Caenorhabditis elegans: one gene and its partner. The protein of the gene in region 1 interacts with the protein of each later gene in a pairwise test. Each region holds a gene or a part of one and is shown in the gene's direction. Other genes may lie near its edges. The genes, in order: cat-4 and fut-8.

The links.
Region 2: the proteins of cat-4 (region 1) and fut-8 interact in a two-hybrid assay, tested with the Caenorhabditis elegans proteins (one large-scale study listed by BioGRID).

What each region holds. Positions count from the first base shown.
Region 1 is NC_003283.11:10,562,754-10,567,086, forward strand, and holds cat-4 (GTP cyclohydrolase 1), read left to right. Parts: upstream 1-2,126; 5' UTR 2,127-2,160; coding exon 2,161-2,323; intron 2,324-2,890; coding exon 2,891-2,986; intron 2,987-3,033; coding exon 3,034-3,231; intron 3,232-3,289; coding exon 3,290-3,504; 3' UTR 3,505-3,686; downstream 3,687-4,333. Other genes in the region: vps-54 (Vacuolar protein sorting-associated protein 54), read right to left, coding at 3,902-4,004, 4,051-4,333. UniProt on the Caenorhabditis elegans protein: Involved in serotonin and dopamine biosynthesis that affects movement, mating behavior, foraging behavior, and cell migration.
Region 2 is NC_003283.11:5,986,359-5,992,073, reverse strand, and holds fut-8 (Alpha-(1,6)-fucosyltransferase), read left to right. Parts: upstream 1-1,821; 5' UTR 1,822-1,843; coding exon 1,844-1,931; intron 1,932-2,002; coding exon 2,003-2,129; intron 2,130-2,628; coding exon 2,629-3,117; intron 3,118-3,168; coding exon 3,169-3,238; intron 3,239-3,302; coding exon 3,303-3,382; intron 3,383-3,470; coding exon 3,471-3,561; intron 3,562-3,609; coding exon 3,610-4,035; intron 4,036-4,427; coding exon 4,428-4,527; intron 4,528-4,580; coding exon 4,581-4,789; 3' UTR 4,790-5,003; downstream 5,004-5,715. Other genes in the region: C10F3.7 (DUF7808 domain-containing protein), read left to right, coding at 5,226-5,322, 5,368-5,464. UniProt on the Caenorhabditis elegans protein: Catalyzes the addition of fucose in alpha 1-6 linkage to the first GlcNAc residue, next to the peptide chains in N-glycans. The addition is prevented if the GlcNAc residue is already fucosylated.

The sequences.
Region 1 (4,333 bases):
TCTAATAAAGTCAAACTTGCGGTAATAAAAGTTTGAAGTGATTCTTATCAGGAAAATAAATAATTCCAAATCACATAATCCAGTTCATAATCTATTGACTCTTTCAACCGCGCCATTGAACATTCTAGTCTAAAAAATTGTGCAAGATGATGTTCACTAAATCATCACCAGTCAGAAAACCGTATTCCTTAGGACACTCTCTATGTTACTTGTTCTCTATGTTTCTGACGTAATCGCCGTCACTTAATTAATCCCGCAAACTCCTTTTGTGCACGATCTTATCTCAAAGGTGACAATTCAAAGTTCCTGAACCAATTTATCATGCAATGATTATAAACTCCATATAAATTGCGGCTTCAATTGGTAGTACATCATTAGCGGCGGCATTTTGCTTATGCTCTTATCTTATTTATAGTTCAACCTAATAAATTGCGGGGAACTTCCTCTACGAGTGTTACGGTATTATTTGGCAGTACTTTTCAGTAACAACTTTCGATTTTAATTTTTTACTTTTCAAGAATATTGACAATAGCTCAGTTTTTTCAAATAGTTCTTTTTGATTCTCAATCTCTAACTCTGAAGAACCAAAAGTTATGAGAGACTTCGAATAACCCAAAAAATCCTGATCATAACAAAATAGTATTTCAAGTTTTCTTGTTTTCATTCGTCATCACCTCCTCCCAACTTGTACCCAATCAGCCCAGAAATCGCAAATATAAGAAACGATATCTGATGAAAAAGAACTAGAAAACTAGGAAAACATTTACAAGTTCGAAACGCCTCTTCCCTCATCTTCAGCTGATTTTGGAACCGTTCTCGTCATTTCGTGTGAATGTCATCAAAACACATCGAGTCTGCCGGGAAAAAAAAGGCGTGGGTTTGATCTTTCTACTAGCTTTAACTGTTTCAACGAAATTCTTATGTAGGTAGTTAAGTAGAAGAATAGAAGAAAGTGAGTGTACTTCTTTAGACCCCTCAATTCTTTTCATTTTCTTTCTTTACTTTCTCATTTTTCCACCTGATGATGACTTAGAAAGGAAAGTAGTTAAAATTTTACAATTTTTGAAAACCGAAACTGTTGAATGAAATCGTTCCCAAATTTGAGGTCCTACTTTTTTGACATGGTGAAATATTAGAAATTGTATTTTATTTTTGTGGCTGTTGGCAGTATATATGAGAGTTTAACACGGTTTCTGTGTTGTACTAAACTCATTAGTAATTTTTTTGCCAGAATCTAGTTTATTTTTCAGATTGGTTGTTTCGATGAGTAATATTATTAGGTGTGATGAGTTTTAAAAATAGGAGGAGTATATTCTACCACATGTGATCCTATTATTGTTTTTAAATAACTTCCCAGGAGGACCATTTGATGAATTTCGTGAGAAATATATGTGAAGTTTGATAAATTCCAAATTTCGTTTTGAATATAAAGTTTCTCAATTTTTTCGATTGTAGTGCATGAAAGAGTAACTTGTAGATATTAATCTGCCAAAGTTTCGGCAACAAAACTGATAGTGAACTAGAAGTCCACGTGAGTGAAGGTCTATATCATTCCTCGCTGATTTACGATCCTTCTCTCTGTATCTCCTCAGACCAGTCCACTTTTTCTTTTCTTGTTGCGCCTATCCACCTAATCAATCGGTTTCATTTTCTTTTTACATGTTCCTTTTGTTTGCATAAATAAATTATTCTTCCTCCACATTTTCCTGAATACCTAGAAGTGCTGCCATGAAGGAATGGCGGAAAACGATTGATGTATGGGACGACGTCTTCCGTTTCTTTTTCGATTTTTTGCTATTTTCTTATTCTTTTTTTCTCATTTTTTCACATAAGTGGGAAAAGATGATGAAGTCTATCCATTCGACTAGATTGATTTCCTTCTGTCCCTTCATTTTGCCTATTTTTTCCCAGAATACCTTTCATAATACATGACGTGTTGTACCTTTTTTTTTCGTAATTTCTTCTTTCTTGCTTGGACATTGCACATATTCGGTTTCATCCGGCAATTATTTGAATGTCTATCCTTTCTTTTTGTCGCCTACGCTTTCTCAGCTTTCTTAAGATTTACCCACGGCTCATTTTCAATATCACCTTATTTCACTCACTTACTCAATCAATGTTTTCAGGCTTTACCCACTCTATCAACATCATAATATCAAAATGTCCAGAATTGAGAACGAAAGCGGATTTTTGTCATCTGACGCCGCAAGTGTTGGATCCGAAGACGATAAAGTTGAGATGAAGAAAAGAAACGGAACGATTCCAAAGGAAGATCATTTGAAATCAATGTGCAATGCCTATCAGAGCATCATTCAACATGTCGGTGAGTTCATGTGATTCTTTGGTTCGGAAAGTATTAGTCGATCAACAACAAATTTAAAATAAGCTGTTTAAGAATAGATTATAGAGTTCTGAAAACGTACTGTCAACTGTTTACGTCAGCAGAATTAGGAAAACTTTGGTTTCGATAAACATTTCAACACACTTTTTGATTCATTCTAGAGATTATAATGTTTTAGCATTTATTCATTATCAGTGACTCAAAGAATATTGATAAATATTTTCCCAAATATAAATTTGACCAAGATGTTTTGAAAGTCGATGATCTATAACTGATAGTTGTTATTGTCTGGAAGGAAGTTCAGTTCAATATATTCCACTCTCAAATCAAAAATCAAGATCGAAAATTGTTTTAATTTAAAGACTCATGACAAATTGTAATCTATTACATCACGCAATCAAGGTACCCTAGCACATCATCAGGAACTTGTGATTTCAATTGATATATCTATAACATAAATCAGAAAAAAATAGGTTGTGTCCGTTGATTATAAGGGAAAAAATGAAAACAAAATACATTTTCCCACGTTGACTGATTTTGGGAATTCAGGAGAAGACATCAATCGTCAGGGACTTCTGAAAACTCCAGAACGTGCTGCCAAAGCAATGATGGCATTCACAAAGGGATACGATGATCAACTTGATGGTCAGTTATAGCAATACAACGTTAAAGCTCAAAGTTTCATTTTTCAGAGCTCCTCAACGAGGCAGTATTCGACGAGGATCACGATGAGATGGTTATTGTGAAAGATATTGAAATGTTCTCCCTTTGTGAGCATCATTTAGTTCCATTTATGGGAAAAGTTCATATTGGATACATTCCAAACAAGAAGGTTCTTGGTCTGTCCAAGTTGGCAAGAATAGTCGAGATGTTCAGCAGAAGACTTCAAGGTAAATTGAGAAATTACATTTTTGATTGGAACCTAACCTAAACGTTCAAATATTTCAGTCCAAGAACGTCTTACAAAGCAAATTGCCACCGCAATGGTTCAAGCTGTACAACCATCCGGAGTTGCAGTTGTTATTGAAGCTAGTCACATGTGTATGGTAATGAGAGGAGTTCAAAAGATCAATGCTTCCACCACAACATCCTGCATGTTGGGAGTATTCCGTGACGATCCAAAGACTCGCGAAGAATTCCTTAATCTTATCAACAAACGCTAAAAATTCTAGTCATTTCCTTTTTTACTTGTTTTTTTGGGTTTTAACTGTTACTAACTTTTCATAACTTTCCATGTGAATCTACTAACATCTTATGCTTCAGCTTTTTAAATTCATACAACATGTTCATTGCCTGGATACTGTAATATGCTTTTATTGTACATGCAATAAATTACTAAATACCAGATAAATAAAAACAAAAACAATTAACTGGGAAATGAAAGTGATAAAGCTAGCCCAGAAGCACAAACTAAAAAATTAGGAATGAAGGACCAGTGAATTGGGGAAGTTTACAGAAGAAGCGTGAAATAAAAGCCACCGTAATTAGTCAAACAATCACAATCATACACAAGAAATAAACCAGATTGAAAATTAAATAAATATTTTACAAAGAAAAGTCCTATTCAAACATAATGTCATTAAGCGACTCGAGCTCCAAATTACGGCAACTTTCCATGTTTTTCACATTTTGTTGATAAAACATGTAATCTTTTGTGACATATCTGAAAATAGTACATTATAGTTGAAATTTCAGTAATTTATTCTTACCCGTATTTTAAAGGGTCATGAGGTGTGATACCCATTCCAGTGACGTGTTCTCGTAAGTTGGCTTTAAAGTTTTCGTGTACTTGACGGAACAACGCCTCGATCTGATCTCTTGGCATGATGCCAACCAGTCCATTGTGGAATTTCAGCATATGGCGACAAATTTGTTGAAATTCTGGCGATGGAATCACTCCTTTCACATCCCACATTCCAAGACAATTTGTTGTATAATGAGCTATTACACTTATTAATTTGGCAGCAATTTCGTTGACGTGATCGCGGTATT
Region 2 (5,715 bases), 4.6 Mb from region 1:
CATATTTACATATATGTACAATTTCAAAACTTCTCATAAATCATGAAACATAAATATTTATTTGCTTTGATCTAAACTGTGATGCATATTAATATGCCCTTCAAATCATCAAATGCTCATTGCACATTAACCTTATCAGTACCTATAAAGTTTTGTACTCTTCTTGCAAATGATACCTATTGTTGCCACGTTCAGTGTCCTCTATTTCTCTCTTTTCATAAATGTTTCCATCGACATTTCGATTAGCATACATACATGACGATGAAAAATGAGCCACACTTCCTATTTTCCCATTTCACACACACGCCACGTATCATAAAGTCGCTGTCAATTTTCGTCATGCTCTGGTCCTCACCGCCGACTCGTTTTCTCTTTCCCAAAAATATTGAGAGCCACATTGTCTGCGTCTCTTCGTGCTCCGTCACACTCTATCGATTCAGATTTCGAGAGAAACTGAACAAGAAGAAGAAGAAGAAGAGAGCAAAGTGTGGAGTGTGCGTGTATAGAAGAAGAGGGATGAGATGGGAGAAGCCAACGTAGCGGGTTTCATTCATTACTTATTCAAAGCGGGGGTCTAGGGGACAACTACTCAACACATGTCTTCCGTTTGCTTTTCATTTTCATCAACTGTTTTTAATCGTCACACTTTGTTTACTTTCTGTCCGAGTATTCATTCAAATTAATTTTTCAGATTTTTTAGACATTTTCTTATATAGATTAAACTTTATTGCAAAATTTGAAAAAAAAAAAACTTCCCAACAAAAATAATCCTTCTAGGAAAAACCTAAAATGCTCTAAGAAGTAATAGGTGTTTATACTGAGTTTCTCTGATTTTCAAAGTTTTTTTTTTCAAATATGACCTCCTTAGAAGGATCCCATGGTGGTTCTTAATCAAAAACTAGATGTTTTCAATTTTCTGTTTGGCTCAAAAAATACCAAAAAAGTTTTGATGTACCATTGCTCAAAAATTTTGAAATTTCGGAGGTATTTTGCAAGATTATATTGCCAGGTTGACAACACCCCAGCAATTCCACACCAGGTTCGGTGGTTCCTATAGATTCCCACAAATTGACAAAAATTATACTTCTAGATTATAATCGAAAAAATAAATGTTTGTTGCTTTTTGGTAATGAGATATGGTAAACAACCCTCCAAAAAGTTTACCTGACCTTGATGCACTAATAACATCAAAAAAATGGAAACAACTCTGCTAAAGCGATGTGCACATATTTTTGCAATTTTTAGAAATTTTAGACTTCTGAAATTTCAGAATTTTTCACTCAAAGACTTAAAAAACTTCAACTTAAAAAACACCAAGATATAGGCGGAGCCTCTTTGGAATTTTTTTACATCTTCTCTTACAACTTATCAAACTCAACAAGCACCTCAAAAAGCTTTCCACTTTTTAATTAAATTCTTAATCCAGTTCCAACAGGTGTGTCCTTCATCAATTATTAATCACACGTGAAACCCCCTCACAGCTCGTTGAAATTGGATATCATAAACTGACGAGAAAGAGTCCAAGGTGTCATAATCCACTTTTCTTCCTCTTCTTCCCACTACTCTTCATCATTTTTCGAGTCTTCACAAAAAATTTGGAAGTCCTTGAATTCGATTGCTCCGCCTTTCTTTCTCAATTATTTTTCAAAATCTTAATTCCAAAAAATAACTCACAGTCTGTCGCTCACACAATTCGACACGCCACATAAGTTATTCCTCCCCAGTTTCCTTTTGTTGTTATCCTGTGGTCCTTACTCGACTTAATAATATGTTAGTTCTTACAGTACAAGTTTACTTTTATTTTAAAACAAAAAATTTCAGGAGCATCCCTGCCCGCTCCGAAATGTTAAAATGTATTGCGGCAGTGGGAACAGTTGTATGGATGACTATGTTTTTATTTCTTTATTCACAATTATCAAATAATCAATCAGGTTAGTTCAAATAAAAACTAATAGAGGAAATACGGTGAAATTTGTATTCTGTACTGAATTTTTAGTTTCAGGCGGTGATTCAATTCGAGCCTGGAGGCAGACAAAAGAAGCCATTGACAAGCTTCAAGAGCAAAATGAGGATTTGAAGAGCATTCTGGAAAAAGAAAGACAAGAACGAAATGATCAACACAAAAAGATGTGAGCTTTTATGTTTGAAATTCTGACTACTTGGAATTAAAATCTGATGTCAAGTCACACTAAAAACAAAAATAATCTTTCGTTTCAAAGAAATAAAAAAAGGATTGTCGCTAAAATGATAGGAAATTCTCTTAGAATTGCTTCGAGATTTGTATATATGACTGTACTATTTTTATTAGGAGCTTAGAAGTCTTAAATGAGCTTCTCAAAATTTGTCATCGTCAAAAAAATCTAGTTTGAAATACGAAAATTGAAGCCCATTTGAAAGAATAGATATGCTTAAAAAGTGAAAAATTGTTCAATTCAAACTAAAAGTGAAAAATTTTATTTTTCCAGTTATGGATTGGAAAAAAAAATTAAAAACTGAAAAGTCGAAAAAGGGAACTATTTTAAAACTAGTTTTTTCAAGAAATAAGTCTGAGATGTTCTAAAAATGCTTTCAGTAAAAAGTAAAAAGTTTCAGAAAAATGCATATATATATATATATATATAATTCCAGCATGGAACAATCTCATCAACTCCCACCAAATCCTGAGAACCCATCACTTCCAAAACCTGAACCAGTCAAAGAAATTATTTCAAAACCAAGCATACTTGGACCTGTCCAACAAGAAGTTCAAAAGAGAATGCTCGACGACAGAATTCGGGAAATGTTCTATCTTTTACATAGTCAAACAATTGAAAACTCAACAAAGATACTCCTTGAAACCCAAATGATCTCACTAATGGGACTTTCTGCTCAACTTGAAAAACTCGAGGGTTCCGAAGAAGAACGATTCAAACAAAGAACAGCAATAACTCAACGAATATTCAAATCAATTGAAAAACTTCAAAACCCAAAAGCATGCTCAGAAGCCAAAACCCTGGTGTGCAATCTTGATAAGGAATGTGGATTTGGGTGTCAACTTCATCATGTTACCTATTGTGCAATTACCGCATTTGCTACTCAACGGATGATGGTCTTGAAAAGAGACGGATCTTCGTGGAAGTGAGCTCTTGTCACCTTGTGTCTAAAATTTCAACGCTAAACCATTTCCAGATACTCATCTCATGGATGGACTTCTGTCTTTAAAAAACTTTCAAAATGCTCATTTGATGAAGCAGTTGGGGTATGTATGTTTTGAAATCTCCCTTGGGAAATTTTCAAACAAAAAATGAAATTTTTTCTTGCAGAACACGGAAGCTAAACCGTTTGCTGAGCCATCACCAGCAAGAGTGGTTTCCCTCGGAATTGTGGACTCACTGATCACAAAGTTAGTTTGAACTTGAACAACTACAAATACCAATACCAAAACCAATAATGTCTTTGCAAACTTTTAAGTTACATTCGCCTTGTTACAGACCCACATTCCTACCCCAAGCAGTACCCGAACAACTTCTCGAAAGTCTAACATCACTCCACTCACATCCACCTGCATTCTTTGTTGGAACGGTAGATTAATATTTTTATATTATATCTAAAACTTTCAACAATTTTCAGTTCATTTCCTACCTGATGCGTTTTAACTCTGCAACTCAAGAGAAGCTCGATAAAGCTCTCAAGTCAATTCCACTTGATAAAGGACCAATTGTTGGACTGCAGATCCGAAGAACTGATAAAGTTGGCACGGAAGCAGCATTCCATGCATTGAAGGAATATATGGAATGGACTGAAATTTGGTTTAAAGTTGAGGAAAAGCGACAAGGAAAACCATTGGAAAGGCGAATTTTCATTGCATCAGATGATCCAACTGTAGTACCAGAAGCCAAAAATGACTATCCGAATTATGAAGTTTATGGAAGCACTGAAATTGCAAAGACAGCTCAGTTGAATAATCGATATACAGATGCTTCATTGATGGGAGTCATCACTGATATTTATATACTCAGTAAAGTCAATTATTTGGTTTGCACTTTTTCAAGTCAGGTGAGAAATTTTTTATCTGAAAAAAATAATTGGATAAACGGGTTATTAGTGTGTACTATAATAAAATGTTCAGCTTTCAAGTTATAGTCCATGTACAAATTTTGATCAAAACCGGACCCATAAAACGGAGAATGTTAAATAATTTGAACTCCACATTTCGTTAGGTTGTAATATTTTCTAACTATGTCAGTCTCGGAGTTATTCTGGTTTAAAAATTGGAAATACACCCAAAAAGAGCCAGGCAGTTTCGTAGCTACATATAATTAGCAGGAAGTTTTGTTCACTAGTATTGTACATAGTAAAGCAAATAGACACTCATATACTTTTGACAAACTCAGAGTTTTGATGATTCTCACTAATCCTATGTAAAAGTCCACAAAACAAACTTTCAGGTATGCCGAATGGGCTACGAGTTACGACAACCATCAGGAGCTGACGATGGATCAAAGTTCCATTCACTTGACGATATATACTATTTTGGAGGTCAACAAGGTATGCATATAATAGTTACTGAAACAAAAGTATCTTAGTTTTCATAATTTCAGCTCATGAAGTAATTGTTATCGAAGATCATATTGCTCAGAACAATAAAGAAATCGATTTGAAAGTTGGTGATAAAGTTGGAATTGCTGGAAATCATTGGAATGGATATTCTAAAGGAACAAATCGACAAACGTATAAGGAAGGAGTATTCCCATCATATAAAGTGGTGAATGATTGGAGAAAATTTAAATTCGAAGCTCTTTTAGATTAGGATATATTTTATTTTTATTTTTATTTTCCGTATACTTCCCTTTTAGCTCTTTATTCATGTTTATCAATCTAGTTTTTGTACTTTTTATCGGGTTTATATTGACACCATCGTTATTCATTGCGGTTTTTCATTGGCAAATTTCTGTGATTATATTAAGCCACATCCGTTTATTGTTGTATTTTCTGTTGTTGAATTTGCAATATTTTTTTAAAAGAAACAATTTGAAAATTGTTGAAATGGGTGAGACGATCTTTCTTTCTATTTATGAATATATAATAAATGGTGAGATGTTTTTCTAGATAAAGTGAAATTTTTGGGTCGTCTGCTTAATATACAATCTGCCTAATATGTACACAAAAACCCGTTTTCAAAAGAAACACTGGGCTAAACTTTGATTAGTATAAAAGGAGTGTCCATTGACTGAATCTTAGAGATCATGAAACTTCTTCTAGTATTACTTATTAGCTCTTCAGTTGTCGTTGGACAACAAGTGGAAACACAGAAACCAGACGATTTCCTTTGGAATCGATGGGGTAAGTATATGAACGGTAGAGAAATCTGAAATAATTGCTTTGTAGAACCAAGAACAATTGATTGTGTGAGCAGTGGAAAGAAAGATGACTGTGTTCTTCTCGCACCAAACTCAAGAATTCCATTTGACATCACCAAATTTAAGTGAGTTTAAATTCAAGTGGGAGGATAATAAAATAATACAAAAATTTTCAAATTAATTAAAAATGTATCAAAACAAAGTTTTGATAATTTATTTACTTACTTACTTACTTTAGTAAATAAAAAGTTTTGGTAAATTGCCAAATTTTCAATTTTCTTGAAAATTTGGCAATTTTGAAACTTTTTTCGCATTTTCGCACCAAATGCTTAAATATAAATATCTTGAACATAATTAAAATACAAATTTTATATGA